Linked DNA regions of Sus scrofa. The protein of the gene in region 7 binds, or shares a complex with, the protein of the main gene of each other region. Links are inferred from orthologs where the notes say so. Each region holds a gene or a part of one and is shown on either strand. Other genes may lie near its edges.

Region 1 (3,877 bases), on a different chromosome or scaffold from region 7:
AAGTCATTAGAAATGCAGAGTATGGAGTTCCTGTCATGGCACAGCCAAAATGAATCTGACTAGGAACCATGAGGTTGCAGGTTCGATCCCTGGCCTCACTCAGTGGGGTTAAGGATCTGGTGTTGCCATGAGCTGTGGTGTAGGTCACAGATGCAACTCGGATCCTGCGTTGCTGTCCGTGGTGCAGGCCGGCAGCTGTAGATTCGATTGGACCCCTAGCGTGGGAACCTCCATATGCCTTGGGGGCGGCCCTAAAAAGCACACACACACACACACACACACACACACACACACACGCGCGCGCGCGCGCAAAAGGAATGCAGAATCTATCCTCACTCCAGACCTTCTTAATCAAATTTTTCAAGATCACAGTGATTTGTATGCACATTGGAGTTTGAGAAATAATTTCCTTCTATCCCATCTTTCCCACTTATACGATGCCACATACAAATTATAACTACATAGAGTTACTGATCTTGTCAGCCCTCGGGGACCTGGGTGGAGGCTAGGGTAGGCAAAACCTGCAGCTGCTTGTCTAAAATTCACTTTCTATGGAAAAGCGAGTAAGTACTTTTCTAGCATGTTTTCATTGGTATAAATCTATACACTGGTTTAGTAAATGCTGTCCAGCCATCACCTGTGTCTAAAAAAATATATTAAGATGGTAAACTTTGTGGAATTTGTTAGGTGCCACTAATTGGCATGGCTGGTTGGCATGGCCCTGAGGATTTTAGGTGGCTATAGATGTCATCAACAAATCTGATTTTATTACGTTTCTTAGAATGAATATTCCCATTTTATGCAGCTAAAAACTAGTTGGCTCCTGGGTTCTTTAAAAGTATGCGTACATTCGATTATATTCCATTGTAAATATTTACAGTAGGAGCTCCCCTCATGGTGCAGTGGAGACGAATCCGACAAGGAACCATGAGGCTGCAGTTTCAATCCCTGATCTTGCTCACGATCTGGCGTTGCTGTGAGCTCTGGTGTAGACCACAGAAGTAGCTTGGATCCTGCATTGCTGTGGCTGTGGTGTAGGCTGGAAGCTACAGCTGATTCAACCCCAAGCCTGGGAACCTCCATATACCATGCGCATGGCCCTAAAAAACAGCAAAAAAAGGTTATTTACAGTAAAATAGATTCCAGCACACTGGAGTCAAGAACTATATGAAAGTGTTTATGTATGCAGTAAAACTGGGAATAATATAAACACCTACCTAAAATGACGAAAAGCAGTATATTGTTTTGGGTTGAATCATGGCTCATCACTTAGTTTATGACCTTGAGCAGGTTACCTGTTTCTCAGTTTATCTGTAGAGAAGAGGTAATGATGGTACCCACCCCCCCAAAGGGTGCGTGCTCAAAGGGATTTTATTTCGTTTGTCTTCTTAGGGCCGCACCTGCGGCATATGGAGGTTCCCAGGCTAGAGGTCCAATCGGAACTACAGCTGCCGGCCTGCACCACTGCCACAGCAACGTGGGATCCCAGCCGCATCTGCGACCTACACCACAGCTCACAGCAACGCCAGATCCTTAACCCACCGAGCGAGGCCAGGGTTTGAACCTGTGTCTCCTTGGGTACTAGTTGGGTTCATTAATCACTGAGCCGTGACGAACTCTGCAAAGGGATTTTAAATAAGTTTGTTAATGCCCATGAAGCTCTTACAGCTGCCTTAACATCTGGGAAGGATGCTTCAAAATATTAGCAGTTGGTAGTTATCACTGTTATCATCGCTTTGTACTTCAAAACATGGAAATCCTCAGTTTTCAGGACGATTATTCTGTTCGTCATCCACATTTGAGTATCTTCCTACATTGTTTTAACGTATCTTTTTTAGTCAGAGGTTGGTAAAAGGAATCTAATAAACATCTGTCTTTTGTAAAATTTCTGTTGCATATATTGTTCATTATATATTTTATTGCTTTTCACCATAGTATTTTACTGTAGGTCATATAAAAGTCTTAGCAAATGATACAGTGCAAATGTCTAAATATGCGTATTTTTAGGGCAGATACTAAGTGCTGTATTGTTAGTGAAATAGTGAAAACTAATTTTTTCCTCTGAGTAGCCTGGAGTGATATGTTACTATTTCAATTTCTTTTAGCATTTGAAACAACAACAGGAAGGCCTTAGCCACTTGATTAGCATCATAAAAGATGACCTAGAAGATATCAAGTTGGTAGAACACGGATTGAATGAAACCCTCCACATCAGAAGTGGTGTCTTCAGTTGACAGTTCACAAACTCATGTTTAAGGTTTGTGACGTACATCTTCTTGTTATACACCAAGCTTTCCTTAAGAATGAAACTGACCACATGGAGGGGGGGAAAAAACCAATCCTCTCTCCTGGCTTGGTTTTTGAGAAGGTTACTGGTAAATTATTAATCATCGAATCTGAAATGAGTCATTTAACTGCTCTTCAGAGATAGCCTTTGAAAGATTTACATCTAAAAGCTGTAATTACTTTAAGAGAATATGTAATTACAAAAAATATGTACTATTGTACATTTTTACAGCAGCATCATTCAAAACAATCAGTGTTTAATGATTATTCTCCATTGAGCCTGAACTCTGCTTTCCGTGGCAAGTAAATATGAAATATCAACTTTGCACATAACAAAATAAACTGTATAATCATTTGGCTGTTGGAGATTTGTACTTCAAAATGTAAATGTACATCAGTTTTTATATTTGTGAATTCATCTGTGGGAAGAGGAGCAAAGAAAAATCTAAGTATTTAATGATTAATGTGGTTTTCTTTTCATTCTATAAAGATTTGAAAATATATTTTTATATTATTTTACTTATTTGGAATTTACAGAACACACCTAAGCAATTAGGATATAACAAAGTTATGTTTTATCATTTTTCAACTTTTTTGTTTTTTAAACTTTTTTATTTCTAAAAAAGATAAACATGAATAAATTGTTGATTGTAATTACTTTTTATATAATTCTGTCTGGTGCTTTATTTGGCTCTTGGAGAATGACCATTCATGTCCACACAAGTACTAAATCATAATCACAACTCAGTTTCATCCTGGTTTTAAGTCTGACTTTTCCCTCCTAGGAAAATGTATCAACACTGATATATTTTGATGAGGGTGTAGCAAATAAAAATTCCTTCAGGAGTCATCTAGGATACAGAATTCTCTAATATGTTGTATCTGAGAACACTGGAAAATCTGAATAGACCTGATGATGTGCAACAGTGATTTTTTAACTAGATAATTTTAAGAGTTTTTCTGACTGCAGACTGCACACTTGGGCTGCATCATGTCTGCCCCTCTTAAGGATGCATTAAAAGTTAAAGCATTAAACTTAATGCTTTAACTTGACATTTCTGGGTAATGCTTTGGCTTATGATGTTTATCGTAAGAAACAGCCTGAGGAACCTTGCCACCGTGTTGCCTGTGAAGATAGTGAGGAGTGTGACGCACTGTATGTCCAGCCAGAGCCATCCTCTTGGGTCCCACTGAAGGACTTTCTGTCTAGATGCAGACCAGGTAACAGTTTTGTAGGAAACAAACTTTACAGCTCATTCTCTCTTTCCATGACAGCTGCTAGAAGTGTGCAGCCACTTTTGCAAGTTTACGTCAGGCAAACTTGTTATATACTCCTCTCTGTACCACCCTTTCATCATACCTTCCTACTCATTGCTGCAATTCCAACAGTGGTGGGAGGAATTTTTTTCTCTCCGTTTGCTCCTTGGCCCAGAAGATAAGCACTTCCATTCTTCTCATCCACGTAGTGCATGTGGAAGGAGTGTGTTCCCCTGCATGCCATCTTATCATAGCAAGAGTTGTTGATCTAACAGATGAGAATTGTTACTCATTGAGCCACATTCTCTGTTGGGCAGCTGGCTAATCAACGCAC
Region 2 (4,500 bases), on a different chromosome or scaffold from region 7:
GCTGGATCCTTCACACACTGAACAAGGCCAGGGATCAAACCTGCTACCTCGTGGTTACTAGTCGGATTCATTTCCGCTTCACCACAACAGGAACTCCAAGCCACATTTTAAATACTTGGTGGTCTTGTGTGGCAGGTGTGTACCAAAGTGAGATCCAGTACCGAAGGTTTCTACAGCAACAGCTACATCTAACCCAGACAAACTGTCTCACTGGTCAAGTGTGCATCCTCGTTCACAGAGGAAACAGGCCCCAAATGTGGCTATCTCCACTGCCACACAATTCAAGATCCACAGACCATGAATCAAAAGAGGGCAGCGAACACACCTGCCTTATTTATGACTGCTTTCTTAGCATCTGTACAGTGCCTGGTCGACAAAAGCTGCTCGAGAGATGTTTGTGGTAGAGTGAAAAAATGAATCCCTTAGATGAAAACAGCAAGTAAAAGAACAGAATGCAGTTCTTACTGGGGAAAAGATGTCCCTCTCAATCCTCGTCTCTGCTCCCTGTGTGGCCTAGAACGTGGCAGCCCACCCATTTGCTTCCCCCTCCCCTCACCCATTCAGGGGACCGCCACCACATCAGTGCTCTGTAGTACAAAAGCAGCACGGGTTCTAAGACCATTCACTCAGACTTACCCAATCCGATCCACAAAAGGATCCATGGACTCATCCACCAGGTGCCTGTTAGTCTGCCTACTACCAAATCCTTGCTCTTTAAACATCTTGGTTAATACCAATAGGTCACTAGGTGCCATCTCAAAGTACGCATAATAAAGGAAAATAATTTCTAGCAGCATGGACTGTTCCCGAAGGCACTGAACAAACCAGCGAGACACCTGGCGCTCGGTCTGCACAACCAATGAAGAAAAATGGGAGAGAAATAAAGTCAAGTTTTAAAACACATTTAAATGTATTCTTGTTAATGAGGTAACACACGCACAAAACTAAGGTAAAAAAAGTATCCTTACAATTCCTATGGCTCAGTCATTCGAATCTCTACCCAGAGGCAAGCACTGTTAGAGGTTTTTGTCTTTCCTTCCGATAATATGCCATACACATTCATTCATTCAGACTAGTGGTTGATGGGGGCCGAGGTCACAAACTGACTGCAGACTTGCTGGGTAGAGAGAAGTGTTCTCTGTAGTGACTGTGCAGTGGTGACTGCATGTAACTACACACAACTGCCAAAAGGCAGACTGTACACTTAAAATGAATGCCTTTTACTGGATGTAAACTGTACCTGAACAAACCTAGGGGACGCTACAGATCTGTTAATAACACAGGTCACTTAATGTGAGTGTGAATGCGTTTAGAGGATAAACTCTTAAGCGGAACTACTATGTCAAGAAATTATGTGCTTTTCAATTTTTAAATACTGTCATAATGTTTTACATTAAAAAATATATGTGAATTCGGAGCTCCTGTTGTGGCTCAGCAAGTTAAGAACCCAACTAGTATCCATGAGGATGCAGGTTCGATCCCTGGCCTCGCTCAGTGGGTAAAGGATCTGGCATGGCTGCAAGCTGCAGCATAGGTCAGCAGCTGCAGCTCAAATCTACCCTTAGCCTGGGAACGTCCACATGTGCAGATGCAGCCCTAAAAAGTAAAAAAAAAAAAAAAATTCATAGAGCAAAATATGTCTATTATCTTACCCCTTGCATGCTGTCATGTGAATGTGTTCATCGCATTTGCCTGTTTTTCTGTTGGGTTTTGCTTATTGATTTACAAGAGCTCTTTCTATTTTAAGAACCCATTGTGCTACCAGTTTGTCTTTTTTTTTTTTTTTTTTCTTTTATTAGCACCACACGTGAAGCATATGAAGTTCCCAGAATAGGGATCAAATCAGAGCTGTGGCACCCGGCCTACACCACAGCCACAGCAACACAGGATCCAAGCCGGTTCTGCAACCTACATCACAGCTCATGGCAACACCGGATCCTTAACCCACTGAGTGAGGCCAGGGATTGAACCTGTATCCTCATGGATACTAGTTGGGTTCAAAATCCTGAGCCACAACAGAAACTTCAACTGTGTATTTTGACTTTGTTTATAGCACTATTTTTGGTCTTCTGTCTTGTAATTTTTTTTTTTTTTGTCTTTTTGCCATTTCTTGGGGTGCTCCCCCAACATATGGAAGTTCCCAGGCTAGGGGTTGAATCGGAGCTGTAGCCGCCAGCCTACGCCAGAGCCACAGCAATGCGGGACCCAAACCGCATGTGCAACCTACACCACAGCTCATGGCAACGCCGGATCCTTAACCCACTGAGCAAGGCCAGGGATCAAACCCGCAACCTCATGGTTCCTAGTTGAATTTGTTAACCACTGTGCCACGATGGGAACTCCTGTTTTTGATTTTTTTTAAATTCAATTTAATTTTATTTTTACAGCTGCACTTGTGGCAGATGGAATTTCCTGGGCTGGGGGTTCAAGTGGAGCTGCAGCTGCAGCCTACTCCATAGCCAGGGCAACATGGATCCGAGATGCATCTGTGACCTATACTGTGCTGTGGCCACTGAGCAAGGCCCACTGAGCAAGGCCAGGGACCGAACCCATATCCTCATGGACACTATGTCGGGTTCTTAACCCGCTGAACCACAATGGGAACACCAGTATTTTCAATATCATGTTGGTGGGTTTTTCATTTCTTTCCCCTTTATGGCTTCTAAGTTTTACTTCAAAAACTCTTCTCCATGCCAAAAAAAATAAAATCAAGACCACCTCTCATGTTTCTTCTAGTACTTTTATAGTTGAATTTTTAAAATTTAAATCACTGTTATCTCTTGTGATTTTCTTCGGACAGAAGAAATGAGATAGAGATACACTTTAACTGTTCCCCAGAGGGCTACCCAGCAGTTCCAGCACCATTTACTGACTGGCCCAACATCTCCTGACTGATTCAAAACGCCACCTTTATCATCCACCAATCCGCTATCAGCATTTGGGCAACACCACCCTTTCTACCAGGTACTATTCATCAGTCTCTTCATGCAGCAAGGCCATGCTTTAACATACTGTAGCCTTATTATCTAATTTTCCTTTCTCAAAAATTTCCTGGCTATTCTTACTTATTTTCAAATGAATTTTAGAACCAGCTTTGCATAGTTCCATAATAAAAAGCAATTACTTATTAACATTTTCCGAGGATCACACTAAAATATCACTATTTTATAGGTTAAAATAAGCAGTACTGACACTTTCACGGTGCTGAGTCTTTTACATTCGTGATTGGCACGTGGCACGTCTTTCCATTTGGTTATGACTTCTTTTTATACCCGTTTAACATTTTAAAGTTCCCTTCATTTAGATTTTGGATAGTCCTGAGTTTATTCCTAAGAAATGTATGCTTTTGTTGTATTTTAAGTAGATCCTTTTCTTCTACGAACATTTTTTAAAAAGGTCATGTTCCAATCTATAAATGCAAACTGGTTTAAGATTAAGGATACAAAAATTAGACTACTGTCACACACTTAACAGATAATGGTAAAAAAGAAAATGAGGCGTCCCTGTTGCGGCTTAGTGGGTTAAGAACCTGACTGGTATCCAAGAGAATGCGGGTTCAATCACTGGCCTTGCTCAGTGGGTTAAGGATCTGCTGCCTCTGTGAGCTGGAGTGTAGCCTGAAGATGGCTCAGATCCCAGCTTGCTGTGGCTGTGGCACAGGCCAGCAGCTGCAGCTCCAATTCGACCCCTAACCTGGTAACTTCCATATACCACATGTGTGGCCCAAAAAAAAAAAAAAAAAAAGATGAGATCTTGGTTTAAGAATTCCATTAACCACTAAGAGACTATTTTAAGCAGGAACAAAAAGTTGATCAACTGGATTAACAAAGTCAAGGGGAATGGTCCAAATAAAAGACCATTAGTTAAAGTCAGTATTTTTATTCACACATGTTTAAACTTTTCTAAAGAATGATAACCTATAAATGCTTTAATTAATAAGTGAATAAATAATTTAACTTAGAGTCCTATGAGCAAGGATGTACAAATCCCCAATAACCACATACCATGAGGTTTCCATGTGTCTCCCATGTTGGTGCTTCGGTTTTATAAAGCTCTTCAAACTGCTGTCTATATTTTGTAACTAGCTCTTTTTCCAATTTATCAACACAGTCTGCATATTCAACCTTATTAAAAAACAAAACAAAACATAACTTATACCTGGAATAAAAGGTAAATATTTATATGAATATAAATATGAATAAATTATTAAAAGGATTAAATTTTAAAAGAGAACCAAGAGGACTAAATGGGCTTACCCTATAGGGGTGTCTTTCATCTTGGAAATAAGTGAGCAGGTGTAAAACACAACGAAGAATACATGTCCTTTCTTCATAGTAATAATCTGCAATCTGGGGAGAACCAAAGATTCAAAATCTGTACTCATTTTTTCACAGAAGATATTCAATTTTAAATTTACTCATGAAATCATATAAAGATGTGAATGGAAAAGTTCCAATTACATAAGCAATTACAGAAATGGAAACACAGTGTTAGGCCAAA
Region 3 (4,500 bases), on a different chromosome or scaffold from region 7:
TGTCCATTATGTTTGAATTTTTCATAACTTCAGTCCCTAAGATACTGTCAGAATCTTAAAGTCCTGTACTGACCGTTATAATTCTTCCACTTTGACAATGAAGCTGTGGTTGAAGGAAATGAACTGGGCAGTCCTTGAGTAGCAGGTCTGTTTTTTTTTTTTTTTTTTTTTTTTAGGGCTGCAGGTGCAGCATATAGAAGTTCCCAGGCTAGGGGTTGAATTGGAGCTGCCGGCCTAGGCCACAACACAGGATCCGAGCCACCACAGCTCATGGCCAACGCCATATTCCTAAGCCACTGAGTGAGGGCAGGGATCAAACCCGCGTCCTCATGGCTAGTTGGGTTTGTTACCGCTGAGCCACAATAGGAACTCCTGCAGGACTGGATTTGAACCAATTTGCAGTGCTTTCCCTTGGACACAGCTATGCTTTTAACATGTATATAGAAAATAGAATTTTCAAAAATAATATATTTCTTTTGTTTTTGTTAGGGACATACCCATAGCATATGGAAGTTCCCAGGCTAGGGGTCAAATCAGAGCTGCAGCCGCCAGCCTGTGCCACAGCCACAGCAACAACAGATCTGAGCCGTGTGTGCAGCCTACATCGAAGCAAGGCCAGATCCTTTTAAGCCACTGAGTGAGGCCAGGGATCGAACACACATCCTTAGGGATACTGGTTGGGTTCTTAACCTCCTGAGTCACAGCAGGAACTCCCCCAAAATAATCTTTTAAGAGCAGTTTATAGTTTACCACTTGTATATATTTATATCTTACCACATATTTCTCTTGAAAACAATCCAGGTAAGCCAAGAGGTAAAATTACTTCCATTTATAGATGAAAGGGACACAGAGGTAAGTGACTGAAAGGACAGTCTCGAGATCCAGTCATATGATACCTTTTCCATTAAATCACCTCCTGACTGATGAAATAATATTTTCAGCTGTTAAACTGTTGCTACATCAAGGAGGTGTGATGAAATTATAATGGTTAACAGCAACATTATCCAGTGAGTTGGGGTTTGGTTGGGGGGCTGTCATAAGGAGATATATTTATTGGGACTCTTGTCTAAAAAGGACACAATCAAGGAATGCAGCAGGAGTTCCCACTGTGGTTCAGCAGTAATGAATCCGACTAGTATCCTTGAGGATGTGGGTTCCATCCCTGGCCCCACTCAGTGGCTTAAGGATCCAGTATTATCGTGAGCTGTGGTGTAGGTTGCAGACGAGGCTCAGAACCCATTCTGCTGTGGCTATGGCATAGGCCGGCAACTGCAGCTCTGATTTGACCCCTGGCCTGCGAGCTGCCGTATGCCACAGGTGTGGCCATAAAAAAAAAAAGAAAAAGTTGAGCTGTATTTGATATATGAGAGAATTTTAGGAAGGCCGTCATGACATTCCACAATGAATTCTGGAGCAGGTGAAGTATCATAGTACTTCTATCTTTAAGATCAAGGCAAAAGTTTTAAACATTGAAAGCTTCCTTTCCCTCTCCCAAGATGGGAATGATAGTCAAACATTTATATACAGATACAGAAAGGCCAGTGCCAAGTAACAAATGAAAAATATAACTCAAAATGATGTATGCACACTTGACGACAGTAAATGCATTGGTAAGCTTCACACAAAATGATGCCAGAGAGTTTACAAATAGTGATGGAAAAACTTCATCAGACCCTTAGCGGGCCCTAGAAAATGTCATTTTTAACAAGGGCCGCCCATGATTCTAGGTTTTGATTAAGAAAGAGTTTTTAAAGTGACATGTCTGTAGTTGTATTCATAAAGCATGCTAATGAAAACTGCAATGAGGAGAAATGTTAATAGCAAATGCAATGCAAACAGAGCTATTCCTTTGAGTTCCATGTTTCATCGAAACTCAAAAGCCACTAGTCTTTCGGTCTTTTTCTTGTACATTATTCTGCATCTTCGTCCTCTATATCTAATTGGATCCCTGGATTTTATTTCATTTTCTGTGTGATATTCTTCACTGACAGGTATCATCGGTTCTTGTTTTGAGGGTTGAATGTCTTCCTCCGTGTCCACTGTTAGTCCCTACCTAGCATGCAGCGACCTCTCTGAGCTTGCAGGCAGATTCCAGCTTGTTGCTGTCCCTCCCGTCCTAAACCCATAAGAGGCCATGCGGGATTCCTGCTTATGCTCCACTCGTGTGGGCCGTGGCCTCTCATCCTGACTTTGCCCCTTACCTTGGTGTTTGAACTTGTAGCATTGCCCTCAGCAACTGGTGGTTTGTGGCCCACCTGACAGACCTGCTGGATCACTGCAAACTCCTCCAGTCTCACAACCTCTAGTAAGTATGCTGGGGCCAACACTCTTCTCGCTGCCACCCAGACCCTTGGGTGTGGGGGTACCCGAATGCCTGGAAGGGAGGTTGGGCTGTCACAGGGGGCCCTGGATAGAGCAGCCCAGGAGTTTGGTCTCATGTTACGTTTTATTCCAGCTTCGGGTCCAACATGAGAGAGTTCCTCCTGCTGGAATATGCCTCAGGCCTGTTTGCCCATCACAGGTATGCTGGCAGTGGGTGCTCCTCAGCATGTGGCTGCCGGGGGTCGGGGCAGGGGGGCGGGGAGGGGGCTTGGACTCTGTTCTCTCCTGTCTGGTTCCCCGAAGGCTGCAGGGTTTGGAGCAGAAGCTGCCTTGAGTGCGCATTCCCAAGCCCCAGGGCAGCGTCTGGGCTTGCCAGGCCCTCATGTCTGTCCTTGGACCTGTGCAGCCTGTGGCAGCTGGGGGTGGATTACTTTGACCACTGCCCTGAGCTGGGCCGAGTTTCGTTGGAGCTGCATATCGAGCGGATCCCGCTGAGCACGGAGCAGAAAGCCCTCAAGGTGCTGCGGGTTTGCGAGCAGCGGCAGATGACGGAGCAAGGTGAGTGGCTTCTCTGCCCGGCGTACCTCTGTGCTCATGCCGTGCTGCCCGGACTGAAGAGCGTCTGGGCAGCAGGTGCCAGGAGGTAAACGAAAACCCAGCACACTACTGGGGAGGGACAGAGAGCTAGGGGTCCGATGGGAAGTAGTGGAGGACGTTGCCTTTATAAAGGTTCTGAGTCACTTCTTCTCTCATGCTTTCACCAGAGGTCAGACGGGAGCAGCTGTGGGTTGTCCTGTCCCAGTGGGTGGCTCTGGCTAAGGCTGGCTGGGTAGGGAAGTGGGACTGGAGCTGGCTCAGGAAGAGCCGGGGTGGCGGGGGGAGCGAGGATGGTTGCTCCTTCTCTTCCCCTTGCTGCGGAGTGACTGGTAGAAACCTAAGCTGCCTTCCTGGAGGAGGCACTGCATGTTCATGACTCTCTGTGAAAGCACATGGCATTCAGGACCCAGAAGAGGAGAGGGCTTGGAGTACCTGGACAGATCAAGGAGGCGCTGATCTGTGGGGAGCAGGACACATCTTTGTGCCACCCCTGAAATGAAGCCCCCTCGCAAAGCCAGTCCTTCCAGGGTGGGTCCTACTGTTAACAAAGCCAATTAGAGAATTTATGAACCCTCGAGTTCCTAGTTCTGCTGGCCAAGCTGTACGTGGAGAGCCCATAGAGAAGCCTAGTTCAGGAGGTGGGAAGGCCGCTCCTGTCCCAGTGGGGTTCAGGAATGGAGCGACTGACAGGGTGAGAGGTGTGCCTTTTCTCTTTTCCCTGCAAAGTTCGCAGCATTTGTAAGATCTTAGCCATGAAAGCTGTCCGCAACAATCGCCTGGGCTCCGCCCTCTCTTGGAGCATTCGAGCCAAAGATGCTGCCTTTGCCACGCTGGTGTCAGACAGGTAGGCTCAACCGGTGTGCCCTCCCTGGGTGCTGTCTGGCAAGGTGGGAGGCTGAGGAGGTGAGCCCGGGACTGCTGCTCTCATCTCCAGGCCGGGCCTTCCTTGCAGGTTCCTCAGGGATTACTGTGAGCGAGGCTGCTTTTCCGACCTCGATCTCATTGACAACCTGGGGCCAGCCATGATGCTCAGTGATCGACTGACGTTCCTGGGTGAGTCTGGCCTCTGGCCCCTGGACCTTCAGCACAAGTGGGCCGTTACAGAGATTGGAGGGATGGTTCTAGACTTCTCCAGGCCAAAACACATAGACCCGTGTGCCAGTCTCTGCAAAGCACATATTTTTGTGTTGTTTGTCTTTATAGGGCCGTACCCACAGCATATGGAGGTTCCCAGGCTCGGGGTCAAATCAGAGCTGTAGCTGCCGGCCTACACCACAGCAACACCAGATCCGAGCCATGTCTGTGACCTACACCACAGCTCAGGGCAACGCCAGATCCTTAACCCACTGAGCGAGGCCAGGGAATTGCACCTGCGTCCTCATGGTTCCTAGTCAGGTTCGTTAACCACTGCGCCACGACCGAACTCCCAAGGCATATTTTTTGGTAACATTTTATCTTCCGGTAATTTCAAACTTAGAGAAAAGTTATGAAAATAGTATAAGAAGTAAGGAATTCCCCTATACTCTTTACCCAGACTCACCAGTTACATATCTGGCCTCATTTCTCAGTCAGGCTTTTTTG
Region 4 (3,233 bases), on a different chromosome or scaffold from region 7:
TCACATCAAAGTTTTCATCTTCAAATTTATCTCCATAAATGGACCGTCCTCCCGATCCATCATGTTTGGTGATGTCTCCCCCCTGAAAAGAGATTTCAATTAACAAGAATCCCAAAGACACTGTTAAAATGCATAAAGAACTAACCACTGAAGGACAGGTGTTAAACACCCAGCTTCGCTGCGAACCTAAGCTTTGTTAGTTTGAAAACTGAGCACCGTGCATTTATGAAGGAGGATAAAAATGGAAGAGATCTTTTCCCACCTCAATTTCTGGCAGGTTCAAGGCATTTAGAAATATGAACCCTTTTAGACTGAATGTTCTGCTGGGACAGAAGCTGGGGTAGGGACACCAACTGCTGTGTGGAAAAGGGAAGGAAGTCTGGAAAAACTGAGAAACACTCAAGTTGCCCAGGTAGGTGTGCTGTCCCTTTCTAGACCCCCACTGTGAGGTGCACTGAAGACTTACTTGGCAAACAAAATCTGGGATCACTCTGTGGAAGATGGAGTGCTTGTAACCGAAGCCCTTCTCTCCAGTGCACAGTGCTCTGAAGTTCTCAGCGGTCTGAGGAACAACGTTTGAAAATAATTCCATGGTTATGCGTCCTAGAGGTTGATCATCTGCACAAACATCAAAAAACACCACAGGATTTGTCTCCTTTGATAACTCTGCTGTTAGTGATGTTTGTCCTTTCTGATGTTTCAACAAATTCTGTTGACATTCTTCAAAGGTTTTCTTAAAACAATCAGCCATTTCTTTAGTTTTAAATCTCACTGCAAGCTGTTCCACTTTGGCTTCTCCATCTATCAAACAACAACAAACAAAACAGTGGTCTTAGTGTTGCGCTAAGTGTTATACACATTGTTCTATGTATTTGTTCTCAATTGTGGGAAAGTCTGAGTGCAGAGCTCACCAGCATAGTCTGAGGCAGTCCAAACTAAAGCATTGTTGGAGACATTCAAGGGTTTCAATTCCATGGTTTTGGTGATGACATGATTTGCACACACTTTAAAGACCTGGTCCCTGCGCATGAGGATCCGATAGTAACTCTTCATCGTGTGCCAGAGGATCTTTATGTCTCCGACCCCACGCTCCTTCCACTGACTGACCTCTCGATCCCACCTGTAAAGTTTGGCTCGCTCTTTAAATAAAACTTCTTCATCTTCTTCTCCAGATTTTACTTCTACCTAAGATAAGAGATGACAAACTATAAGCTGCTGCTTATAAAACATCCCACAACAAATTCCAAAGATTCACATTCCTTTAGATACTGACAGGAACAGAATTTGAAAACAGTTAACACCTTAGGGCTACAAATGCATGCGATTTGAATGAGGCAGGAAAGACCTGATTTGTCATGAAATATTTTCCTCTTACACAGCATTCTTCCTCCTTTTAGAAATTAATACAGTATTTTGCAGGAGAGAGGATATTTCAAAACATGCTTATTCTTCAAGAGAAATATTATCTACTGATTGAAGTTGAAATTTATAAAAGTAACTAACCAAAAACAACATTCTTGTTAAAAAGAAAACAAAAGTTACTTTTTAATGAAGGGACTGTGGCAAATCTAAGATTAGTTTTTTTGTTTTTGTTTTTGCCCCTAGAATTATGTTATGAAAACAGACAAAACAAGTAAGTTCTTCCCTACAATTTCATATAGGATAAAATGTTACCAATATTATGTTTATATATAAATTTTTTCAAAGAGACAATTTAAGCTTAAAGGCTGAACTTCTAATATAGAACTTCCATTTGAGGTGGGCAGTGTTCTGAAACAATGCAAAACAAGGCCAGCCCTACAAATCAAGTTTTAAACGTCAAACGTGAAATTACTAGTACAGCTTTCATTGCTTAATATTCACCTCTGGTAATGACACTATTGGTTCAAAGTGGATGTCTTCATTGTGAACCACCTCTTCGTCACTGCCATCTTCGTCTTCGCCACCTCTGCTGGTCGACTGTGCTCTGAACACAGCTGCTCCAGTATTTGCCCACTGGAAATTCTTATCTGACGGACAAAGTAGCATATTTAAACAGTCCGAGTCCGTTTCAGTAAGCTTTTGATCCCCCTATTAGATTACTTTATCCATGAATCTAACTGCCGACGATGTGACATGCTTCTAGTAACAACGTGTGAAAGTGTATTCTTCTGGCAGGTTAAACTCAGGTGGCGAGCACACGGCACGGCACGGCCAGGAACGTCTGCCTGGACGGGCAGCACGGGGTCCTCTGAGCCTTAGGTCACCTTCACAATATTAAACACCACAAGGACTTTCAGTAATGAACTCAAAGTACACACCGTGAAACTGTGAACACCTGGTTCAGCCTCCAGGGGTAGATTATTTCATAAAACAGTCTATCACATGAAAACAATAACTCTTGAACCTAGAAATGTTCTCAAAGAGGCCAAATCTGCTACTTTCAAATGAGCCAAAGTGGACTAGGCCCATGTGTGTAACTTCTCCACTTCAACTTCTTCCTCAGGGAACTAGAGCTGGAGCTCAGACTGCCTGGCCAGGTGGTACTGGCAGCCTTGGGAGAAGCTCACCGACTCCAGCCCTTGAGGAGAAAAGGCTCCCCATCATCGCCACATGAGGAATAAAGACTTTTACTCTCCCTCACACCCTGGAGAGGGTGAAAACCAAGCTCCCCCATCCCCATCTCAAGTGAAGGTGACCCAACCTGCTAATCCACTGCCCACACTCTGAGAGGAAATACACCTCTCAGCTTTTCATCAATGGCTGAGCCACCACACTGCCTTAGAGAAACATGCAGCTGATGCTAAAAACTCGAGAGAAGGCAAAACTGTCACTGAGCAGTTAAAAACTCAGCACCTTGAAGAAAGAACAAAATGACAGATTCAAACAGTAACTCCCAAGCCAGGTTTAATAAGGAGGGGAAAAAAAGAGAAAAAAAGAAAAAAAATTCTTAAGAAGGTCCGGCAAAAGAATGTTCTGAAAAGAGAAAAGCACGAGCTCAGGTTATGTGGGAGTTTCCCTTAAGAACAGCAGCCACAGGATGGGGCTTAAAAATAACTGGGTTTGGAGTTCCCGTAGTGGCTCAGGGGAAGTGAATCCAACTAGTATCCACGAGGACGCAGGTTCGATCCCTGGCCTCAATCAGTGTAATAAGGATTCTCATTGTCATGAGCTGTGGTGTAGTTCGCACACACGGCTTGGGTCCGGCACTGTTATAGCTGTGGTATAAACCAACATGTGCAGTTCTGATTCTA
Region 5 (5,015 bases), on a different chromosome or scaffold from region 7:
CAGGAGTTAAGTGACACAAGGCAGAATGGCAGGTGGGCAAAAGCCTGAAGACCCTTTTCTCCACTCTAACATGCCATCAGCAGGTCTCCTTACAAAGGACTGTAATGTCAAAGAATACTTTCGAAAGTCTAAAATGGATTCGACGCTGTCACTGAAGTTGTTAGACAGAGAGGTCAGTGGGGGAGAAGTAATTTATGTTCTCAAAAACCAGGTTTCACACAATGGCAGGCACTCAGTCTAGTTCCAGGTGCTTGCGGTAGGAAAGAGACCGAGCTTAATAAAGACTGGTCTTCTTCATGATGCGCAGGAACTCTTGCTCATTGACTTCTCCGTCCCCATCGCGATCAGCTTCATCAATCATTTCCTGCACAACAGGAGTCAAGTTAGATGAATTCATAAATGAAACAAAAATGTGACTAAATAATAGGCTTTTATAATGCTACCTGAATAGACAATTGTAGTCCCCCGCACACACACACACACTACAAGATGCTGCTTCTTATAATAGCTTGCCTCCCGAAAAGTTATTTGAAAACCCAGCCATCCTTTGCCACACATGTATCACCTGAGCTCGAAGATCATCTTGACCAGGGAGACGCCTAAAACCTAAAATAGTAAGTAAAACTATCCGTGAGGCAGCAGCGCCCATACGTTTGCCACACTATTGAAAAAGAAATTAAATGGTCACTAGAGGGACAAGAGAATGCTAGTTTTCCTCCAAAGCATTAGAGAAAACATAACACGGAAAAGCCACACAGGGCTCCAGGCTGACACATCACACACCTGCAGCTCCTCGTCAGTGAGGTTCTCGCCCAACTCCTTGGCCACGCGTTTTAGATTCTTGAACGATATCTTCCCAGTTTCATCGTCATCGAAGAGCTTGAAAGCTTTCAGGATTTCTTCTTTGGTATCCTTCTCAGACTTAACAAGTAGAACATAAAAAACACATGAGTAAAGAGACTCATAATTACCTGTGTCCCACAACCCTAGCACCATCCCCTCTGCCCTGCCACAACAGCACCACATGGCCTCATGACATTGGTGCTAGGTCACAGAAGATCAAAAATCAACCAGCGTAGAGAGAGGGGACAAACATGAAATTGGTACAATCCCAGAGGCTAAGAAGGAAATATAAAGGCTTGCACTTAAAACATTTTCTATACAAATGGAAGAGAAAAGTAGACTGCTTTTTAAAATACAGCAGCAGGAGTTCCCGTCGTGGCGCAGTGGTTAACGAATCCGACTAGGAACCATGAGGTTGCGGGTTCGGTCCCTGCCCTTGCTCAGTGGGTTAACGATCCGGCGTTGCCGTGAGCTGTGGTGTAGGTTGCAGACGCGGCTCGGATGCCACGTTGCTGTGGCTCTGGTGTAGGCCGGTGGCTACAGCTCCGATTCAACCCCTAGCCTGGGAACCTCCATATGCCGCGGGAGCGGCCCAAGAAATAGCAACAACAACAACAACAACAACAAAAGACAAAAAAATAAATAAATAAATAAAATACAGCAGCAGATGATGGGATTAAGTTTAGAGGAAATTCCACTGCTTAAGCTGGGATCCTCTTGGGGGCAGAGGGGAGCAGGGAGGAAAGAGAAGGCGATTTCACTTATGAGAGCACCAAGAGTTACTAGAATCCCAGGTACTCTGACAGAGGAAAAGAGGAAAAGCTTCCTGAACTCTTAACTTAGTCCCTGAAGAAAAATATGGGTGTGATTAGATGATTTCAAAGCAACAGGATTATTAGAGTGGGAAGAGACCTGTGCCTTGGGAAGCACAGCTGAAGCACTGATGGAGCTACTTTTCCACGGGCCAGTAGAATGTACATGAGCCACACTGAGGAGGAGCCAGGAGGCCAATGAAAGAGAAAGGGACCAATGGGTGAAAAGACACTTTCATATCTAGACTCAAATCTGTCCACCATTATTGGTGGAAAATACACCCATCATCTTAGCTAACCTACCATTTTCTGAGTCATCACAGTTAAAAAGTCACTGAAGTTCATTTTTCCTGTCCCTTCCTTATCGATTTCACTTATCATTTTCTTGATCTCTTCTTTCTTGGGTTCAAAGCCCAGTGCCCTCATTGCCACCTGCAATGAAAACAGGATCATCTCAATATGTACATCTAAACCCAGGGGCAAAAAATGACAGCATTGAGAGCATTAAGCCAGTATCTGACACAATCATGTTAAAATAATTAGGAAACACTATAACATTAAGCAAATTGATATTTGCACTCAATTTTGTTTAATAATACTTGAGGTAAATAAAGACAGAAAAACAGCACAGAAGAGAAAGAGGCAGAGAAAAGTCAAGGCAGCAGAGCAGGAATGTACAGGGCTTGCCTTAAGTTCTTTAACATCTATTGTCCCAGTTCCATCAGCATCAAAGAGATCAAAAGCTTCTCGGATTTCCTGTTTCTGCTCTTCAGTAAGCTCTGGTTTAGGGCTCATCCTTTTTCGCTGGGCAGCAGATGCCACGTTTGTCTTCTTAAAGTTAGAGGCCTTTATATGTTTCACAAACAGAGAAGCACGGTATTATGTAATAGGGTACATATTTTACATAAATATGTTACAATCCTATCTACTTTTAAAATAGTTTATACCAACGAATTCCAAAACTAACAGGAGAAATAACAGCGTTTAGTGAAAAGAGCAAATACTCTTTCTCTGCACCTCTATCCCTCCCTCTTCTTTACTACTGTTTCTAGAAGGAGATCCTTTGTTCTTTTGGATATCTCTTATTTGAAATCATCTAAAAAGAGAGCTGGCCAAGGAGCTGACTCTGGATAAATGTACAGATAATCAGCTCTCTCTGAATTTGGGACCCTAAATCTAAAAATGTCCTTAGAACGCTATTCTGCTTCGCTCTAAGTTATAAGATTTTCTGATTACTTCTAATTTGGCCAAATACTAAGTTAAGATGTATATTCTGTCAATATCGAATAATAAAACTCAATCCCCTCGGCACATCTGAGCCTTCCCCAAGAAGGTCAAAGCGTTTCCGAAGTCCCAATATTTAACATTTTAAATGCACATTAACAATCAAACACAATAAACTTCCCCTAGGCTCTGGGTAGAAACTTTGGTAGAGGCGGCCAGGAGGCCAGAGTCTGGAAGTGGTCGGGGTGTGCGAAGAGCCCGAGTCTGTTTTGACCAGAGGTGGTCACCGAAGGAGCCAGGGGAGCCCGAAGGACGGATAGGGGCCAGCTGTGGCTTGAATGGGACGCAGCGGCTAATCGCAGGCCCAGCAGGGCGGCCAGGATCTCTACCCTACCCTTCCGGGAAGCGCTCAGAGGAAAGAGTGCGCCAAAGCCGAGAACCGCGCAGGAGAGACGGCGGGGCCAGGCCAAGGCCTGTGAAGGGCTCAGCTTCTGGACACAGGGTTCGAAAGGGTAACAAGCACTCACCATCGCCGATGGACTCCGCTTCCCGTTGTTACGGCAACGGACGTACACACCGACTCGGCGCCCTTCCCACCGCCCCCTGCGCGCGGCCTTGCACCCCATTGGAGGACAGATGACTGCAGCTCCCCATTGGCACAGTGCTGGAGTGGGTGGGACTAACCCGACGGAGGCCTGACGCAGGGCGCAGGGCATTGTGGCGCGGCCTGGCCTTATTGGGCAGGATTACACCGCGAGCGCTGATTGGCCGAGCCAGCACCAATCCCTTTGGTGGAGGCGCCTCGGCTGATAGTAGCCTCATAAGGGTGGGGAGAAACAGGTGGTTGCTGGCGCCTGGAGCTCTGAGGCTGTAGGCTACCGATGCGCTGAGGCCGGCCAGGGAGGCACCTACCAACAGGTAAGGGTTGCGACCTCGCTCTTGGGTTGGCGATAGGACTGGAAAGGCAAGGAATTGGGTGGGGCCTTTCGCGGGGCTCGAAAAGGTAACAAGCCCTCACCCGGTCGGGGACTTTCTGGTCTGGACTAAGACTGAGTTAGGGTCAGAGGGGCCAGAGAAGACCGTGACCTTGCGTGTTGGAGCAGAGGATGTATTTACGGGGCAACTGAGACGGAGAAGGAAAGGCAGAGGCCGGGCGTTATCACAGAAATTCGGACGTCTGGGACTTAGAAGCTGAATTCATCCACCTGAGGCTCTTTCTTTGGGCGTGTCCGTCCCACCCCAAATAGATAACAAGATAGGATCACTTTAGTTCTCACCTGGCTAAAAGCAGCTCGGGAAGATGAGCTGGGGGCCTAGGAACGGCCTTTGAAGGGAGTGAAGGAGATTTGAGTGAGCATAAAGGGGACAGATCATCAAAATATACTCATTTTGACAACCAAACACTCAAGGCGGATAGTGAGGAGTATTCCAGGTGGGGACACTTCATGAGCAAAGTCACAGAGCCGTTTTGGAAAGGTGAGGCTTGCTCAGAGAATTACAAGGGGGCGTGTGCCACGGTAACAGATGAAAGGGAGCTGGAACAGTGGCCCTGGAAGTCCAAGGTCTGCCTTCCTTAGCCAGCCCAGTGTAAGGGCACTTCTTGCCTCTCAGCCCTTACCTGCTTCACCTCTGGGCATTGGCACAGCATTTTGGGAAGCAGGGGACAGAGCATAAGTTTCTCAGGCTGAAGAAAGCCTGAGATTTATTGACATTCATTAAGCGAAAATGTTTGCCGAACTTCTGCCCTTTACCCTCTTCCTCTTTGAGCACAAGCCGAGTCCAAAACCTTTTGGTCCTATTTGACTCTTCCTGCCCTGGCCCCACTAACTAGCCTCCACTTTCTGTCAGCTTCCTCCTTAAAGGGTGTTTCTTTTCTCTTTTCCACCTCTGTTGCTCCTGTCCCACTTCACGCCTTCAGCAGCAGCCCCCCTGTGGGTACAAGCCAGAGCTCTCACCATGCTCTGCAAGGCCCATCCCAACATGCTTCCTCCTCTCCCCTGGCTGCTCCAGCCCCAGGACACTAGCTTCCTTGATGGACTCAAATGCACGGACACACTCCTGCCTTCAAACTTTTGTTCCAACCATCTCTTCTGCCTGTTTGTTCTACTTGTTTCCTTCTTCCAGGTCTTTGCTCCA
Region 6 (4,500 bases), on a different chromosome or scaffold from region 7:
AGCAGTGAGGGCATCCAAGTGCCCTTTCCAAATTCCGTAATCCATCTGCAGAACAAACATAAGGCAGACATATGATGGACTAAAGCCAATACAAATAATACATTTGTACACACAGGAATACATACATATGGAACATCATTCTAAAGAGTTGACATTCAGTAAGCTAAATACAAAAATAAACACCAACAGACTGCAGTTAAATAAAACACTCAAAACGTTAATCATGTAAATGAACACTTGTGTCACCTGAAGGTATGTTTCATGTTTGGTTAATTATCGACAGAAAAGTAAGTAAACAGATGGCTTTTTTTCAAAGTAGAACAGTAAAAAAGGAAGATCATCGATTACAATAGGAATATAACTACTAAAGAACTGATCTCTTTAAATACATAACATGTATTTTTGAGATGCAATAGACATGTCTCATCTCCATTCAACTTACTTCGTATTTCTTTTCTTTGTGTTCATGAGCCACTTTCTCAGTAAAAGTTGCTTGAGGTATCAAAGTAGGTTTTTGTGGAGCTGAATTCATATGCTTAAACCACTCATTAAAGGTTTCATGGGCTTCCTAAAATGCAAAATAGAAAAATACAAAAAAAGAAAACTTTTCACATATGTTTAAAACAAAGCTTTTAAAAAACAGGTCCTAGAAATAATTTTGCAGCACCAAGAAATAAAATCGTTTAATATTTCTTTTTTTATGCAAAAAACCATGGTGAATAATTGTTTTGTTTGTGATGTCCACATGTTTACTTGCTGTCTTCTTGAGGAGCCTGTTAACTTCTAGAGGGCAAGGACAGAAAGCCATCCAGACTTAGTCCTAGACCCTAGTCAATATGATCACCTCATTGTTTGTTGAATGAATTTTGAATGAGTATGTTGTTATTCAAACTCATAGTATGTTACGTAGTCATAATATAGAATATTTTACTTTTCTGTTATTGCCAAAAGCAGAACTGTTAAAGTTGAGATAAGCATCCAAAGAATCTTAAGAAAACATCCAGGAGTTCCCGTCATGGCTCAGACGAAACGAATCTGATTAGTATTCATGAGGAAGCAGGTCTGATCCCTGGCCTCGCTCAGTGGGTTAAGGATCCCGTGTTGCCTTGAGCTGTGGTATAGGTTGCAGATGGCTCGGATCTGATGTGGCTGTGGCTGTGGCATAGGTCAGCGTCTATAGCTCCAATTTGACCCCTGCCTGGCCTGGGAACCTCCATATGCCGTGAGTGTGGCCCTAAAGACAAAAAAAAAAAAAAAAAAAAAAGTAAAAAGAAAACATCTACTTCAGACATCACACACACTATCTACCATGTGAGATGTCTTGGTTGGTTAGCACTGATTAGGGACTCCTATAAATGAAGACCAGGTCATGATTTCAAAGTCCTTGTGGATGAGTCAATCCCACAGTGGGAGATAAGAAAATGAGTTAATTGCCACTTCTGGGAGCTCCCCCTGTGGCTCATCGGTAATGAACCCAACTAGTATCCATGAGGATGCGAGTTCGATCCCTGGCCTCGTTCAGTGGGTTAAGGATATGGTGCTGCTGTGAGTTGTTGTGTAGGTCGCCGAAGTGGTGCTTGGATCTGGCATTGCTGTGACTGTGGTGTAGGCCAAAGCTACAGCTCCAATTCAACCCCTAGCCCAGGAACTTCCATATACTGCAGGTGCAGCCTTAAAAAACAAAAAAAAATCGCCACTTCTGGAAAAACAGTTCAGAGTCTGAGAATGAATAAGAACAGTCAAGGTAAAGGCACTGTGCAGTTTTTCTTTACAATCTCACCAAGTAAGCTCTAATGCACAAATGTTCTCGGATGGCGTTATCATCTTCAGCAGGAAGTGGGCTCTCCATTCCTTGTTCCTCCCATTGATTATAGATTTCTGCTATTGAATCCTGAGGAATTTTCACGAATACTTCTTTTGCAGCTTCGTGTTTTTTTGATGCTATGAAAAAGACGATTCGCCAATATATATGGATTTCTGTTAAATGGTTTCTAACGGAGTCAAATCATTGGTTTGCAACTTTCACAGTGACCTGTAACCACTCCAGGTCCCGAGGTACCTCGGTTAAAGATCTGAGTGATCTTTCTACTGAATGGCTGGGCTTTTTCCTTATTTCGATGCAACCATCACAAAAAGATTCATTAATTGTAGTTACTTTTACATACTATTCTGTATCTTAAAAAAAAATTAATTCCATTTTCAAAGCCTTGAGGTTTTAGAGGCAAAACTGAATAGGACATGAAAATTCACTATTAAATATGTTTTGTTTCATAGTACCAAGTTTAATATATGAGTGGCTGTTTTGTACTTTACCCTAAAACAGAAAACAAAGTTCAAGAACAAAACAAAAACTTGAAAAAAAAAAATATATATATACACAAATACAGCATACCTAAGAATTTCCTCATTATCGCATTGCCTTGTTTTAGTGCTTCCGCTCTCTGTGCTGGGTCAAATACCAACCAGTCAATTACATCAATTTTTAAACGGTCCTCCTATTCATTTAATTGGAAAAAAGAAATGTCAACTTTGTTTTTTCTAAGGTATCTTGCAAATTAGTAGAAATAACTTATATGCTCACTTCTAGTGAATATTTTCCCTCAAGTTACATAAAATTATGAAGAATATAGCTTTTCTTATTTTCACATTTATTTTTATTTTTACATTTAATAGCAGCCTATCAAATTACAGAAAAAACTTATTGGACTGTGAATCTGTAATTATATATTCAATGCACCACCAACTTAACCATGTGATTTCTTTAGGTGCTACTCTAAATTTTTTTTCTTTCTGAAATAAAACTTTCTATTATTTTCTGAAAATAGGAATAAAGTAAGCTACATAAAAGTTAGGGATGCATTCAAGTATCTAGAAAAGTCTGATGAGCAAAAATCTAATGCTCAGCTATTTTCTATTAAAGAAACTTCCTTTAACATACTACTACTACTAAGCAATTCCTTACATATGCTCTTAAGCTTGCTGCCAATTTTTACAACTTGGCTGACACAGCAAAATTCTTCAAAAAAGAAAGAAGCCAGAGCATTTTAAGGGTAGAAGTTGACAAAGGAATAACATGAGGGATTATTGCAGGATATAGAACACATACCCCCAGAGTTCCCGTCATGGCTCAGTGGTTAACGAATCTGATTAGGAACCATGAGGTTGCGGGTTCGATCCCTGGAACTCGCTCAGTGGGTTAAGGATCCGGCGTTGCCGTGAGCTGTGGTGTAGGTTGCAGACGTGGCTCAGATCCCCTGTTGCTGTGGCTCTGGTGCAGGCTGGTGGCTACAGCTCCGATTCGACCCCTAGCCTGGGAACCTCCATATGCCGCAGGAATGGCCCAAGAAAATGGCAAAAAGACAAAAAAAAACAAACAAAAAAAAAACAAAACACCACACACTCCCTTCCCCGCGTATTACCTCTGTAGTGCCAGTATCTAGGGCTGGGGCCAGGTCATGATGACTGAATTCACCATTATCTTTCTTTCGAGTATTCTCAACTACAGTTTTTGTTATAGTTGCAATATCCAAATCTAAAGAATTTTTTGAGGAGACAAAAATCAAGAATTAATTGTTCACACATTATTCTCTAAATGGTTACAATGATTTGGTAAATTTGGGATAACAATTCTTTAAAAATGTCACATGTAAAACGAAAGACATTCTGGCATTATGAAATTCCAAAATTAAAAGACATGTTATACTTCAGTGACAGTAGAAGTTATTTCATTGCTAAAACAGAATTTTATTGAAAAACTCATTCCTTTTTTTTTCTCTTAAGAGAAATAAGATTTAAAACTAGAATGATAAATGTCACTAGAGTCAAATGATAATTTGTCTATAAAGCCCAACAGATGAGGTTCTCAACCATTTTTACCTGCTTCTTTAGCCAGCTCCAGGCAATGGTGGCGCTGTTCAAATTCTGTAACACCTTCCAAAAATAGTGCATACTGGGCAACAGCTAGGTCTTGAGGCAAATGACAGGTATAAAATGCTATGAGATCTGTATGCTTCTCATTTATTAAAAGCTAAAAAGCAGAAAGAGATCAAAGTGTGTCAAAAATAAAACAAGTTCTAGGATCAGCAGTGCTTTTTAAAAAGTTCATTTCAAAATTTCATATGTATTTTAGAGAGTCATACAGACACAGATTTGTGCTGCTAAACACAATTAATTTTAAATTTCAAAAGAAAGTACTTATGATAATTAAAAGATCTCTTATGGATTCTGATGACTTTCCTGCCACTGGATATTAAAATATTATCATTCTGAAGTTTACCTGTATGTATGTCTTTAAAACCTCAATGGAAACTTCTTCCTTCATAGGAAAAAAAGAAAGATATAATTCCATTATAAACACAATTGCTTACATATACCAACAAATACATCTAATAAAAATTCTGCTATAATGATTTTTAATATTTACCATTGAGCAATAACTATATGTCAAGTAAAGTACTTAGCGAGGTTTACATTCAAAGTTAAAAGCCTGATTTAACCTTA
Region 7 (4,500 bases):
TCATCTTATGTAGCTATTATATAATTATTACAGTATTTGGTACAAAAACCTGTTCTTTCTCTGCTGTACCAAGTCTGAATTACCTTGACTTCCTAATGAAGTATTATTTTGTTGACAAAGGGTGACCACACTACAAGACCACTGGCAGCTGCACGGGCTCGGCAGCAACGAACTGCAACTGAGCAAGCGTATTCAGCTTGGCTTTCTTTTCTTGAGCCAGCGGAGAGAGACCCAGCACCCTATCTCTGAAATACAGAGGGTCTGCTGCACACTCATGACAACCCCCGCTGGGCAATTCAGAGCTAGAAGGAGTGTCGACAGGGAGTGCTGAATGGCAGGGGCCCTACCAGTGAGAGAGACAATGGTTAGGGCACAAGGGCACAGCCACAAACACCTCGGTGGCCAAATCCAACTAGGGAGGAGGTGGCAAAGAAACCCAGGCACAAAGCAGAGGCGTCAGCAGCCAGGAAGGACCCGGACTCACAAAGATTAACCGAGCAGAGCTGGGTGGAAAATAAAGGATCAAAGGGCCTTCCTAAGGTTTAAGGGTGGTAGTGCTGGGTGAGAAAATCAGAACGCTGAGAGAAAACACAGAGCCTAAGGAGAATTGTTGAATCACATTAGGGACCAGGATCCTGACCCAAGGCATCATGGCCTAATAGTCATGTCTCTGTACTGAGGGACAAAGAGCAGAGAGAGAAGAAGAAAAGCCTAGCCATGTTCCGGGCTCCCACTCACCCTGATTTTATATCAGTGTAGAAACAGTTCTGGTAGAGAAGTGTTTCTGAAAACAGGATAACACCTCTCAGACTTGCTCAACCTTGTAAATTATACCAGCTACAGAGCACTTAGCTTGAGGACTACCTGAAACACGCGATCAGCTGACTTCAGGGGATTGTAAAGGCCCCTCTGTGCTGCTGCCGCCTTACCTCTGCTCCAGGTACCCCAAGGCCTGCCTGACGAACTCCATGCGCACCTCCACGCTGTTACGGCTCTTCAGGGCGTCGGTTGCCGGCGCCAAAAGCACATCTGTCATTTGTTTTACCATGGCCCACATGTCAGAGATGTTCTGCACATAAACAAGACCGCGTGTGACATGGCTGCAGGGTGGGGAAACTGGTTCTTCAAGGTGTTCTGACTCAAAGGCAGGCAGGATGTGGAGGGGACTGGTCAATGTCCTGAGACCCTCAGGCTCAGGTCCAGTACAAAAGACCCACCTCTGCCCCGCCAGATACTAGGCTCCCGTCTTCCTACTGGCAGCCCCTGTTTGCGGGTTGGTTTTCAGATTAATTACTATACCAGGTCTGACATACCCACGTACATAATTAAGACCACACAAAAGTAACAAAAACACTGAATCTCAGTGGGTTATCCCTTAAGAAGAGTGAATACATTTATAATCATCCAAAGATCTAGGAGTTGAAACTCAAGTAGCTGCATTTCAGTCCTTACAAGGTCATATGAGTTTTTTAAGGCTTAAAATAAGAGTTTAACCTACATAATACAGGTTTTGTCCTCCCAGAGACTCTCCAGGGGCCACCGCTGCTATCCCATTTTGTGAGTGTCACGGCCTCCCATTTTTCTGCCTACTCACTCCTTTCAAAAGACGCCTCCCACGCGGCCGCCTAGGAAAGGCATGGGCGTTCTCTCCTGTGTGTTAGCACCACACAGCTGGACCCCCTCTTCTCCCAGAATCCTCCTGGCTATAAACCTCTCCTTAGAAACGTGTTCCCTGAACCCTCTGCTTACAAAGTTAAGAAGAATCCTTGGAAGACAGCGGCGATTAGACAAAAGCATGTTTACACTGTTTCCAAAGGAAAAGAAAAAAAACCCCCTTTTTATTGTCTCTCTCAAAAATTAAAAAACTGTAGAAAATCCACCTAAATGACTCTTTCTAGGTGGTAAGATGGTAGATAAATTCTTACTTTCTCCTTTAGATCAGTTTATATTGCCTTATACTTTACTACTTAAAAAAAATAGTTAGGAATTCCCATTGGGGCTCAGTGGGTTAAGGATGCAGTGCTGCTGCACGCTGCAGCAGAGGTAGCAGATACGGCTTGATCTGGCATTGCTGTGGTGAGGCTGGCAGCTGCAGACATAGCTCCAATTTGACGCCTAGCCTGGGAACTTCCATACGCCGCAGGTGCGGCATATGGAAGACAAAAAAAAAAAAAAAAAAAAAAAAAAAAGTTGGATAAATTTTTAAAGAGAAAAAAGTGTGTATGAGTGCCTGCTTCTGTTATAGCCTTCCCTCCTTTTCCCATCCTGGCCACCTATCAATCTATTCATCCACTTTAAAAAAATTTTCTCCCCTAGGGGGAGAAAATTGGCCAAGGATAAGAACTGAGGGACAGGAATAAAGATGAAGAGCCAGAGAAGAATGGAGACAGTGGCATAAGAATAATGCTTGTAAAGACCCCACCTGAGTCAAGTTCAAGGGGCTCACTGGGCCTATTAAAGATGCATTTAAAATACATAAATTTGGAGTTCCCATTGTGGCTCAGGGGGTTACGAACCCGACTAGTATCCATGAGGATGCAAGTTCAATCTCTGGCCTTGCATGGCGGGTTAAGGATCTGGTGCTGCCGTGAGCTGTGGTGTAGGCTGGCAGCTATAGCTCCAATTCGACCCCTAGCCTGGGAACCTCCATATGCTGTACCTGTAGCCCTAAAAATAAATATATGTGTGTGTGTGTGTATAGCATCATCATCAAAAACCATCCCAAAATAGTAAAATAAACCTTTGAAGAGCAGTTAACATCTTATTCCATGGCGCAGAGCCTCTCTTAGCATTATTTCTGCAAAGTTGGCAAGCGCTAATCCCATCAGAACACCAGATCACATGGGTCTACTCAGGTCAGCTCTGGGCACTACCTTATCATCCAGCTCTGCGACAGAGGCACAGAGGTCCACGAGATTAGGCTGCAGGTGTCCATTTACAATCTTCTCATTATAGATATAAATCTGAAATGAAAAGCAAAGTAAATGCCACAGATTTTATTTTCATCCCTTCTTTTTAGAATACCTTGAAGCAGTTCTGAAACCAGCTTTTCTGCCCAATGGTCAGCAGAAGCGTTAGCCAACCTTTCTTGTCTCAGAGTAGCTGGGTAGCCTCACTGCCTGGAGGGTAAGGCCTCTGGCTGGCTTCCAGTTCTGTGTCTGAGCTTTGAGCAACAGCATGAACACACACCAAAGTTAACTGTGACCCAAGTTTTCCTAACACCGAGGAATGGGAGGAGGGTGGAGCCGGGGGAGGAGTACCACCGGCAGGACTGTGCTGCTCTGCCCAGTACACCCTCAGTCCTAGTGAGCAAGGACCAAAGGGGGAAGATGGGACGATGGAAGGTCTCCTGCTACTGCTTCCCATGAATCCGAGGCAAAGTTTGGTAAATCTTTCTGGCAAAAGGACTGAAAGAAAGGCCCCAGGCCCAGGGTTTGTGGAATGAATAAGGAGTGAAGGGTCGGAGCCTTCCACATGTGTTAGAAGAGCAGCTGCTGCATATTTGGGGTACCTGTTTCTCTAGGAAAGAATCCCAGTTCTCTAGTACAATCTTGTCAAGAAAAAGGAATATAGGGAGTTCCCATCGTGGCTCAGTGGTTAATGAATCCGACTAGGAACCATGAGGTTGCGGGTTCGATCCCTGGACTCACTCAGTGGGTTAGGGATCTGGTGTTGCCATGAGCTGTGGCGTAGGTCACAGATGCGGCTCGGATCCCGCATCCCGCTGTTGGCTGTGGCGTCGTGGCTCCTCTGGCATAGGCCAGCAGGTACAGCTCCGATTAGACCCTTAGCCTGGGAACCTCCGTATGCCACAGGAGCGGCCCTAGAAAAGGCAAAAAGACAAAAAAAAAAAAAAGGAATATAGGATGTTTATAGTATGGAAAAGCCATTATTACTCTGCATTTTATTTTAAAAGAACCAATATCATGATGGTAACAACTAGTACGTTCTAGTCTTTGCATGTGAAGTGCTTGTTCTACCGAGGTCTGAACAAGGTAGGGATGTCACACAAATCAGGACTCCATCAAACCTTACTTCCCTCTACTTTTTTTTAATGGCTGCACTTGCTGCATGTGGAAGTTCCCAGGCTAGGGGTCGAACTGGAGCTGCAACTGCCAGTCAACACCACAGCCACAGCAACACCAGATTCTAGCCACATTTGCGACCTGCACCACAGTGTGCGGCAACCATGCAGCAACGCCGGATGCTTAACACACTGAGGGAGGCCAGGGATCGAACCCACATCCTCACAGAAACAATGTCAGGTCTAACCCACGGGAACTTACTAAAAAATGTTTTTTAAACCATAAGGTGTTTATCCGCTCAACAAGCATCTACAAGGGGCCTTCCCTTGGGTACTATGTTCAATATGGGATATAAACATCCACTCTCCACTGGAAGGGACAGCCAAGTAAACAGATACATGATATTACAGTGTCTTTAGTTTTACAAAGCTTTCATCTTCACAGACACAGAAGATACCATAGTCTCCCTCCTCAG

The links.
Region 1: NUP93 (region 7) and NUP54 share a complex: the UniProt entries of both Homo sapiens proteins name them as parts of the p62 complex. The link is inferred for Sus scrofa from reciprocal best matches to the Homo sapiens genes NUP93 and NUP54.
Region 2: NUP93 (region 7) and NUP188 share a complex: the UniProt entries of both Homo sapiens proteins name them as parts of the nuclear pore complex. The link is inferred for Sus scrofa from reciprocal best matches to the Homo sapiens genes NUP93 and NUP188.
Region 3: NUP93 (region 7) and NUP85 share a complex: the UniProt entries of both Homo sapiens proteins name them as parts of the nuclear pore complex. The link is inferred for Sus scrofa from reciprocal best matches to the Homo sapiens genes NUP93 and NUP85.
Region 4: NUP93 (region 7) and E3 SUMO-protein ligase RanBP2 share a complex: the UniProt entries of both Homo sapiens proteins name them as parts of the nuclear pore complex. The link is inferred for Sus scrofa from reciprocal best matches to the Homo sapiens genes NUP93 and RANBP2.
Region 5: NUP93 (region 7) and CETN2 share a complex: the UniProt entries of both Homo sapiens proteins name them as parts of the nuclear pore complex. The link is inferred for Sus scrofa from reciprocal best matches to the Homo sapiens genes NUP93 and CETN2.
Region 6: NUP93 (region 7) and NUP107 share a complex: the UniProt entries of both Homo sapiens proteins name them as parts of the nuclear pore complex. The link is inferred for Sus scrofa from reciprocal best matches to the Homo sapiens genes NUP93 and NUP107.

Annotation. Positions count from the first base shown.
Region 1 is NC_010450.4:71,795,992-71,799,868, reverse strand, and holds the end of NUP54 (nucleoporin p54), read left to right. Parts: intron 1-2,105; coding exon 2,106-2,234; 3' UTR 2,235-2,951; downstream 2,952-3,877. UniProt on the Homo sapiens protein: Component of the nuclear pore complex, a complex required for the trafficking across the nuclear membrane.
Region 2 is NC_010443.5:269,275,836-269,280,335, reverse strand, and holds part of NUP188 (nucleoporin NUP188 homolog), read right to left. Parts: intron 4,350-4,500; coding exon 4,257-4,349; intron 4,125-4,256; coding exon 4,005-4,124; intron 849-4,004; coding exon 637-848; intron 1-636. UniProt on the Homo sapiens protein: Component of the nuclear pore complex (NPC), a complex required for the trafficking across the nuclear envelope. Required for proper protein transport into the nucleus.
Region 3 is NC_010454.4:6,075,822-6,080,321, reverse strand, and holds part of NUP85 (nuclear pore complex protein Nup85), read left to right. Parts: intron 1-1,224; exon of another isoform or gene 1,225-2,049; intron 2,050-2,103; exon of another isoform or gene 2,104-2,136; intron 2,137-2,221; coding exon 2,222-2,305; intron 2,306-2,455; coding exon 2,456-2,521; intron 2,522-2,728; coding exon 2,729-2,880; intron 2,881-3,645; coding exon 3,646-3,763; intron 3,764-3,871; coding exon 3,872-3,972; intron 3,973-4,500. UniProt on the Homo sapiens protein: Essential component of the nuclear pore complex (NPC) that seems to be required for NPC assembly and maintenance. As part of the NPC Nup107-160 subcomplex plays a role in RNA export and in tethering NUP96/Nup98 and NUP153 to the nucleus.
Region 4 is NC_010445.4:47,532,475-47,535,707, forward strand, and holds part of E3 SUMO-protein ligase RanBP2, read right to left. Parts: intron 2,010-3,233; coding exon 1,864-2,009; intron 1,186-1,863; coding exon 912-1,185; intron 802-911; coding exon 467-801; intron 83-466; coding exon 1-82. UniProt on the Homo sapiens protein: E3 SUMO-protein ligase which facilitates SUMO1 and SUMO2 conjugation by UBE2I. Involved in transport factor (Ran-GTP, karyopherin)-mediated protein import via the F-G repeat-containing domain which acts as a docking site for substrates.
Region 5 is NC_010461.5:123,902,488-123,907,502, forward strand, and holds the start of CETN2 (centrin-2), read right to left. Parts: upstream 3,560-5,015; 5' UTR 3,506-3,559; coding exon 3,407-3,505; intron 2,502-3,406; coding exon 2,343-2,501; intron 2,088-2,342; coding exon 1,959-2,087; intron 922-1,958; coding exon 784-921; intron 365-783; coding exon 275-364; 3' UTR 1-274. UniProt on the Homo sapiens protein: Plays a fundamental role in microtubule organizing center structure and function. Required for centriole duplication and correct spindle formation. Has a role in regulating cytokinesis and genome stability via cooperation with CALM1 and CCP110.
Region 6 is NC_010447.5:33,030,753-33,035,252, reverse strand, and holds part of NUP107 (nuclear pore complex protein Nup107), read right to left. Parts: intron 4,316-4,500; coding exon 4,277-4,315; intron 4,028-4,276; coding exon 3,877-4,027; intron 3,533-3,876; coding exon 3,420-3,532; intron 2,496-3,419; coding exon 2,393-2,495; intron 1,942-2,392; coding exon 1,781-1,941; intron 569-1,780; coding exon 443-568; intron 46-442; coding exon 1-45. UniProt on the Homo sapiens protein: Plays a role in the nuclear pore complex (NPC) assembly and/or maintenance. Required for the assembly of peripheral proteins into the NPC. May anchor NUP62 to the NPC. Involved in nephrogenesis.
Region 7 is NC_010448.4:18,805,551-18,810,050, reverse strand, and holds part of NUP93 (nuclear pore complex protein Nup93), read right to left. Parts: intron 2,964-4,500; coding exon 2,874-2,963; intron 1,070-2,873; coding exon 930-1,069; intron 1-929. UniProt on the Homo sapiens protein: Plays a role in the nuclear pore complex (NPC) assembly and/or maintenance. May anchor nucleoporins, but not NUP153 and TPR, to the NPC. During renal development, regulates podocyte migration and proliferation through SMAD4 signaling.